2 linked regions of the Nothobranchius furzeri genome follow. The protein of the gene in region 2 purifies or fractionates together with the protein of the main gene of each other region. This does not show direct contact. Links are inferred from orthologs where the notes say so. Each region holds a gene or a part of one and is shown on either strand. Other genes may lie near its edges. The genes, in order: ccnf and cdc6.

Region 1 (4,345 bases), on a different chromosome or scaffold from region 2:
CTCAAAGGCAACACCAAACGCGTGTTCCACGAGGGACACGAAGGCAGAAAGAAAGAACGACGCTCACAGCTGCTTTGCGGCTGTTCTCCCACAGCAGATAAGAACTCAGCAGACAGCCGGCCTGAGACGACTCCTCCAGCAGAGATACAGCGTTGGAGCGTCGCCCCTCGTCCTGGGAAAGACAGATGGTTATAACCACAGAATGTTTTGCTCTTACATTTGTAAGAAAGCAGTGAAATAACAGTCTGATAGATATGATTTCAGCAAATTATGAAACCTCACAAGTCTAAAGCATCAATCAGCAAAACTCGTAAAAGCTTTGGGGGACTGATTAAGAGTAGGCCAATCGTAAAGAGGAACATGGCTGGGGACACGTCACGTGACAACACACGGATTTACATTTTTACTCAACGGTAATAGAAACCGAGCAAGCCACACCCAGAAAGTCAAATTCAGTCTCACTCACTTCAAAAAGAAGCAAAACTCTGGCCAAACAGTGCAACAAGGGTCCCTTCTTCTCCTGCAGGGAAAGAAAAAAAACAAGCGTTTCAGTTCCCAGTGCTCCTCTCATGGGTTATGCAGGGGGAAAGCAGAAGCTCATGTTCTGTTTGGAGCTTTAAACCTTCCTAGATCCATACGCGGCTCGAGCTCAATGCAACGGACAAACACAGCTTTATTCTGTGGCTTCTCATCACTGATCTGGCGGCAGCAGAACCTACCATGTTGCCATCGCACTCAGCCTTGAGGCGATCAAACACCACGGCCTTGCAGCAGCTGCCAGTGGGCGACCATGGTGGACGGATGAACACCCAAGTGAAGGGATCGGTTTTGGGGGAGCGGAGACTCTCAGCCAAACTGAAGAAGTGGGAGGCTTTTCGACCACACACATCTGCTCGCCCCTCATCGCTCAGCAACGCTGAAGGCAGGAAAGAAGGCCAGAGTGAAGGGTCGTAACCATTTATCAAGAGGGTTTGTGTCTCTGACATTAAAATGACACTGCTGTGGTGCTTTGAGCAGAAATTTACTACATTCTGAAAAGAATAAGAAGAAAAAAATAACTGTTTTAACTTACGTCCTTCATTGTACAAATAAGCAATTCCAAGTTTCACAGCAGCTTCAAAATTCCCCTTTTCAGCAGCTCTGAAGTGAGAATTTTATATTAATTTCAGTAAACAAAAGCAAGTATTTTGTTGTATTTGTCAGAAGGAACCGTACCTTTCAAACAGCCACAAGGTGTCGGGGGACGGCCACTTGTCTCTGAAACTGACCCTGGCCCACACACTCGAGTGGTTGTCAACAGTGTCCCGCAGCTGGGAGTGAACCTACAACAGAAACCTGGATAACTAATCCCTGAACAAGAAACACGACAGAAGAGGCTGTCAGACGTTTTGTGATGGGATTTACGTTCACTCACCGCTCTTACTGACAGCAGATCCTCAGCAGAGAGACACTGAAGCACACATAGAACGACTTCCTCAGGCAGGGAGAGCAAAGTTAAGTCTGGGGATCGTTGACGGACTCGCTTCCGTGTCGGAACAGAGTAGCATTTTGAACACCGGCAGTGGACGACTGGAAAATAGAGGAAAAAATACTCAAATCACAAAATTAACACACTTTTAGAGTCAAATACTTTTTAGGTGTGTACACAGGAAAATCAGTAAAGGTCTCGGTGCAAAGCTGGAGATGTAATTCTCACTGTAACGCAAAATGAACATTTGCATTTAATTAATTCTAACACACGAGTCAGGATGTTAGGCTTTCTTTGATTTATATGATTTGACACTTTCAGTTACTATTAATTTCCTGGGTTGTGAGTCTGCCACAAAGAAAATTAATGTAAAACTACATTTGTAAAATTTAAGTATAAAAACCCAAGTTTGTACAAAATACAGTTGAAACTAATATCATTTAGAATCTGAATTGAGCTTTAACTCAACCAACACCATAAATTATTGTTTCTTTTTTGCATGATAGGTATGAGCATAATTCGACATTTTAAAATAATATTTTAAGAAGTATTTATTTGCATAGTTTAGAGATAAATGATAATCTCGTAGTAGTTTTCCATCGTAGTTTTCCTACTTACTCCACAGTTTAATCATGCCTACTAAAATAACTCCACATGTTCCTCAACACGTTAAACCACATGTTGATCAAATGTAGACGAAGAAAAAGCCTAAATGAACACAAACAACCATATTTGAGCTGTTTGGGGAAATCGAACAGTGGTGAAATCTTAACAGATGATGTCAAACCAACTGAGCGCCCAAATTTCCCTCCTGTGGGTTCAATAAAGTACCGTTACGACCAGATCTCGTTCATCCACACCTAACTACATATCATCTGACACCAACCACGAATATTAGTGCTACAATTCCTAAATGAGCCGTGGGTGTGTTAGATGTATATTGAAGCTTTTGAGCTAAATGGTACACCAAGTTCCTGTTGGGATCCATCACTGCACTAGCTAACGCCTGAGCTGACAAGTACCTAGCAATCGGTTTGAGACCAAACACACACTCCTAAACACTCATTTCATACCAAATTATTCCCATTCGTCTATTCTGAGTGGGTAAAGCGGAAGAAAGTTACTTACCGCCCGCTTTCATTGCAAGTAGCTTTCCTTTTGCGCAGAAGCCTGTAGCAGCAACACGGAGGAGCCGTTTTAACGCAGTGTTAATGCAAGTTAAGGCAGGCAGGCTACACCGAGCACCGTTTGGAGTGAATTAGAGGCTAAACAGTGTTAAAGTTAATGTTGAGTTTGTGCGGCTGACTAATAACTCAACATCAAGTTGTCTGAATTCAAATTCATGCACGAGTCCGGACAAGGCTCCGCCTTAAACTATGTAGGACCGCCCGCGCGCACGGTTTAAACTCTACAAAGAAGTTGATTGGTAGAGAGCAACATCGTCAGCGCGTGACACTACAAGCTTATGATTGGACAATAGGAATAGAGGCAACACAGATTGGTCTGACACCTTGAACTATGAAATAACCGAAGCTCATTGGAGGATGTAATGCCATTTCGAAGTACGCGCTCGTCTGTGTGCTCTTACGATTGGTTGACTCGATTGCGTGTGTCCGCCTTGTTGAAAAGGCGTGTGGGAAATGTAGTTAAATGGAAAAGTGGCGTTTAAAGGTACATAATTTAAAGGGACATGCCCCCAATGATCCGTCCAAGGGGGAGTCAGGGTTGGAGAAAAGTGCAGTTACTTGACCCGGTGACACATTTACTTTGTTTCTTTTAAACATTCTAAAGCAAATGATTTTTTTTCTCTCTAAAAGATCAAAGGTTTACTCTGTGTCACTCAGAATGATTTATTTTTTATAATAACTGTAATAAAGTATCTCGGTGAGAATATTATCAGAGAGATGTCACCAATGCACAGCAGAATCCAGAAATTATGATAATGCCTTGTTCATGGGTCACACACTAAGACCAACATAAGATAGATGGGAAGCAATAAAGTAACAGGTTGGTTTGGGTTTGAGGAAGCTTCCTCTGAGGAAATCACATAATTAAGACCTTTTTGTTGCATCCCTATTGACAATAAATAGAGAGCTCTCTCAGCCAAATAGCATCCTCTTGATTGTTGGTCTTTTGAAAGGGGTCATAAAGAAGCAGACTACATCTGGGAGTATTCGTTTGTTCCTTTCAGGCTCTCTATTGATCTGTAACATGTTCATTTAGTCTCATCATCACGAAAAAGATCAGGAGCTTCACATTAATTTTAAAAAATAATTTTTTTTTACAACTTTAAAATGTTTTTCCCAGTAACGTCCCAAAGCACACAATAAACAATCAGCCACCTTTGTTTATCAAATTGAACTTACTCACATGACAGTGAATAAAGCAAATAAATTAAATGCCTTTTTATTTTCTCACTGGGGATTGCAAAGTCTTGCTCTGCTGAACAACGAAGGTCCAGAGCAATCACATTATCTTGTAGCTGACAGAGTGACCTCAGTCAGGGCAAGGGCTTTGACATCCTCAACTAGATGCACCGTTTCCATAGAAACTCCAACCCAGCTCAACTATTTTCCCAGTAAAAGCACAAAGTGAATAGCAAGGGACACGCCACTTAAAGGAGTCTCAAATAATAAAGAAATTACAACACACACTGTAGTGAAATCTTTTTCTCAAGGAGTATACATTAGTATAATTTCATCCAAAAATGTGCCATAACAGAAGTAAAATTGATCTGAGAACAAAAAAGGTTTGAATGTTAAGAGCTGAATTAATTAAGAAAATTAATCCATCCATCCATCCATCCATCCATCGATCTATCCACGTATCCATTTTCTTCTGCTTATGCAGAGTCAGGTCACAAGGGCAACAGCCTAA
Region 2 (4,374 bases):
CTCCAACAGGGAGCCGGCTCTGAGAGCCGTTTCTTTAGTGACCGACACATCACTACATCATTCCCTTTCCTAATGTCCTGAAGAACGGTCCGGAGCGCAGGCAGAGTGTTTAGCTAACCTGCAGGAAACGTCGACGACAGTTATCCAGAAAGTAGCTAAGGGTTACGAGAGATGTTTCTGAGATGTTCGCTAGGTACTTTTAGATTTAAAAAGTCAAGAAGGGGGTCTGAAGCTGCTAGAAATAGCGACAAAGTCGCTAAGTTGGCAACACTGTGGAGGAGCGCTTCATTTGCAACTCAAGCAGCGTAGGTGGGAGGAGCAAATAATCAGCTTGTTTTGTTTTTATAATCGTTCAAAACTCAGATCGTAATCGTGATTAAAATTCGATTCATTGAGCAGCCCTAACCCAATGTTAACTTGTCTTAAAGCACCACCCCAGCAGCCGTTGCCTGTGTAGTCAGAATCCCTACCAGTGACTGCATTTGTGTACTTTCTACCGTAAACCAATAATACCGTCATTACTACAGAGCAGCCGAGACACCGTGCGGGACGAACTCTTACCAATGAGACAGAGACGAGAACTGGGCAGGTGTGGCCACTCAAAAAGGGTGTAGAGGACGTCCTGAGCCTTGCTGTCCAGCTGGTCCATTTCATCCAAAACCAGAAGCCTTAGAAGAGAAGACACACGCATGAGCCTAGGGCTGGGCCATATGGGCCAAAACTTACATCTATACTTTTCATTCAAGTCAACTCCCAGAGCTGCCTTGAGAAATTGTACATAAATTCATCAGCAGATTAAATGCATAAAGTGTATTGATTCTTGTACAACATGAACCATCGAGTTTACACGAATTAGAACTAAAGGTTCCTGAAGACATTTGTGACGTGTAGCTGTTACTGCTGATAGATGGATGACGTGAGTCCTTGTACCCCTCATAACCCTAACCCTCATAACACACAAGCTTATGTTTCAGAACACCGTCTCTGCGGGTCGTTCAGTATTTTGTTTGAAATAATATGAACATTTATGAAGAATGTCTGACACTGCCCATTCCTAGACGAGCAAGTCAGGTCCATGAAAACCAGGCAGCATGAAGGTCACTCACACAGCAGGCCCCGACGATGTGAAGAACTTCTGCAGACCCCTCTGGCCGCTGAGCACTTTCAGTTTGTCAGCCAGCAGAGGGAAGATGGAGTGGGCGCTTCGCAGACTCATACAGTTCACCAGAACCGTCAGAACCGACGACAGCTCAGCCTGATGGGACAACAACAGCTAGGTGAGGAGATGACGACATCTGTGTAGACAGGGCTGCTCAATAAATCACATTTTAATCACAATTACTATCAGAGTTTTGAACCATTGGAACAACAAAACGAGCCGATGATTTGCTCCTCTCTCATGGTTTACTCCGAGTTGCAAATCAAGCGCACCTCCCAGCAGCGTTGCCAAATTTTAGCAGCTTTGTGGCCGTTTCTAACAACCTTTCAGACCATTCCTCCACTTTCTTCTCTAAGCTACCCAGAAACCACCTAGGAACATTCCTGGATACCTGCAGGTCACAGCCTGCACTCAGGACCGTCCTTCTGGACATTAGGAAAGGGAACAACGTAGAGACGGCTCTCAGAGACTCCTGTCCCCGCAGGCTCCTGGTGAAACGGCTAAATGTGCCCGTGCAACACACACACACACACACACACACACTCCTGATTGTAGTGTGTGTGCTGCAGTGCACCTCTGCAGGGTGGGACATCTACTACATGGACTGATGGAACCTGGAAATAAATGGTTTAGGAATACGTTTCTAACGCTGATTCATCTCAGAGCAACAGACTAGTGCTGCACTCTCCCACAGCGCCGCTGGACAGGACTCAGTACCGCAGCAGGTTATGGAAGTTCACTACAACATGCATGTTTAGACTCTTGCCATCAGAATTGGGTTAGGGTTAAAGCTCAGCCTACTGGCTCTGTTACACGAGGAACCAGGAGTTGTTCTGATCTTCTTCTGATCGCCCTGATAAAGCCATGATGGAGTAGCCCTACTGCAGACAGCGCTAAAGCATGTCCAGCTCACCTTCATGTCCTTCAGGACACAGCTCAGGCAGGCCGTCTTGCCAGTCCCAGGAGCTCCTGAAATATAGAGGCTTCCAGGACGGCGCTGCAGGACCGTCTCCTGCAGGAAGGAGCGGATGGACGTCTGCTCCGCCTCTCTGGACAAGATGTGTTCAGGGATGGATGTGTGGAGCACCTGCTTCACGCTCTGGAACTTGGACTCTGAGGAGAAAAACAATGATTGTAGCACTTTGGTTCCTAAGAAACTCGTAACTTGCTGAAACCATCTTACTTTCTGCAAACAGCTGAGTGACTGGGGTCTTCTTTCCTCCAGTGCCACGCAAGGGACTTCCGGTGGGCGTTTCTGGTCTCCTAGTGGACGAAGTGGTGGTTGGACAGCGTGGTTTTTCAGAAGATGGGTCTGATGTTTGATGGACCACGACTGGAGAGTTCTCATTGAAACCTAGCTTCCTCTGGGAGGACAGAGACGTCTTTTTCTGTTTGGGAGGGGACGCCTGCAGGGTGTGGAGGTTGCAGCCGTTCTCATCACCTTTACAGAGATAAACACAAGTCAACACCTTCATGGAGACAACTCCTGACCAGCGCTGCAGACTCACCTGTGCGTTTGCGCGGGCTCAGGGGGAGTCGGGGCTGCAGGGCGGGAGACTGCCTCGGAGACACGGGCCTGGGTGGGCTTGGAGGCGGAAGGACGTCCTGGGACGCAGACCCTGGAGGTTTGGGGGGTTTTAAAGGCGCTCGGCAGGACTTGCGTCGTGGGAACGTCAGCGTGGGCTGAGCTCGAGCCTGGGAGCGGGTGCTAGGCATCCTAGCAGCTTTAGCGTTAGCTCGCCTTGCAGGACTCTCAGAGTAAAGGAGGGGTTGGTAACCCGGTCAGGTTAACCCGAACCAACCCGGATCAACGCTCACCTGCGCTCGGTCAGCTCCTCTCGAGGACGGGCTTCTCTACCGGTAACCGAGTCCAAACTAGCGCCAAAACGTCTTCTTTACCAGCTGCGTCATCCGCTGCTGCTCTTGGATTGGTCAACGCAACACTTTTCGCAACCTCATTGGTTCGGTGCTGCGGGCGGAAGTTACGCAAAGGGCGCGTTTGGTAACGGCGGGAAATACTTTTGTTTGAGTTTTAGCCATCGAGAAATGGGTAGGAAGAGCAGAACAAGGAAGGTCCCACCTGAACAGGTGAGTCCAGCTTAGCTCATCCGTCTGAGAGGTGATTGGATGAGACGGTTTCATAGCAGATCAGTGTGTGTTTACATGAACACAGAACAGTGTACATTCATGTTTACACACACACACACACACACACACACACACACACACACACACACACACACACACACACACACACACACACACACACACACACACACACACACACACACACACACACACACACACACACACACGGAGGTGTCCCCTGTCCCTGACTGTCTCCAGGTGGCTGGAACACAACAGAGACTGAACAGGATCATTTGCACTCACTAGAAATGTTTCATCAGCCAAGATGATATTAATCTGACAACAAGAGCTCTGATCTGCTCTGACTGTCAGATCACACGATTGGAATCAGCAGCATCAGTGAAGCCAGGATGAGCGTTACCTCATGAATATTAACAGGAAAATGTCCAGAGAAACTAGACACGTGTAACCCTAACCCTAACAGAATTCCACCACCATAGCACATGAGCCTAACACCTTTTTATTCATTCTGTAGAATAATTAACCAGTTATAATAATAAAGTATGTATGGAACAGTCTAGCGAGGTGACAGCTGCAGAAATATAGCTCCAACAGCAATAATGGTTCTATTCGATTCACGATTGGTCACTCTGAGCTGCGTATTCATGCTACACTCCCATCGTCTGCATCAGCTGCCCAAAGGAAAGAGATGAAGAAACTACTGTTGGGAAAAAAACTGTCTCCATTAGGCGTTTCGCATCTGGGCTAGCACGGACCGGGCTGGGTAGCGTCGGTCCGGTCCCACACCAGTAGGGTTTATTCACACTGTTGGTTGATTCTATCCACCAATCAGAAGCTCCCTCTAACGGCAGGTTGGTATTTGAGCCGGCCAGTCAGTCGTAGTGGGCATGTTGGCCTGGCCCAGCCCTGAGCAGACCACCAGAGGTTAAGGGCCAAAAACCCGCCTGGTAGGAGGGGGCAAGTACCAGATCACCCAGGGATGAAAACAATATGTTCAATGCAGGCCGGGCCGATCGGTACCAGATGTGAAACCCCCATTAAGCCGGGTGTACACTATGCAACTTTTTCACTTTTTTGAGCCGATTTTCCAGTCGTGCGAGAATCCA

What was found.
Region 1: the proteins of cdc6 (region 2) and ccnf purify together in Homo sapiens (affinity purification with western blotting; 4 studies listed by BioGRID and IntAct, with this or other methods). This does not show direct contact. The link is inferred for Nothobranchius furzeri from reciprocal best matches to the Homo sapiens genes CDC6 and CCNF.

What each region holds. Positions count from the first base shown.
Region 1 is NC_091752.1:57,969,824-57,974,168, reverse strand, and holds the start of ccnf (cyclin-F), read right to left. Parts: upstream 2,842-4,345; 5' UTR 2,610-2,841; coding exon 2,597-2,609; intron 1,570-2,596; coding exon 1,415-1,569; intron 1,323-1,414; coding exon 1,216-1,322; intron 1,141-1,215; coding exon 1,073-1,140; intron 917-1,072; coding exon 720-916; intron 521-719; coding exon 467-520; intron 173-466; coding exon 68-172; intron 1-67. UniProt on the Homo sapiens protein: Substrate recognition component of a SCF (SKP1-CUL1-F-box protein) E3 ubiquitin-protein ligase complex which mediates the ubiquitination and subsequent proteasomal degradation of target proteins.
Region 2 is NC_091747.1:65,968,837-65,973,210, forward strand, and holds the start of cdc6 (cell division control protein 6 homolog), read right to left. Parts: upstream 3,027-4,374; 5' UTR 2,876-3,026; coding exon 2,668-2,875; intron 2,601-2,667; coding exon 2,343-2,600; intron 2,273-2,342; coding exon 2,073-2,272; intron 1,256-2,072; coding exon 1,107-1,255; intron 669-1,106; coding exon 562-668; intron 1-561. UniProt on the Homo sapiens protein: Involved in the initiation of DNA replication. Also participates in checkpoint controls that ensure DNA replication is completed before mitosis is initiated.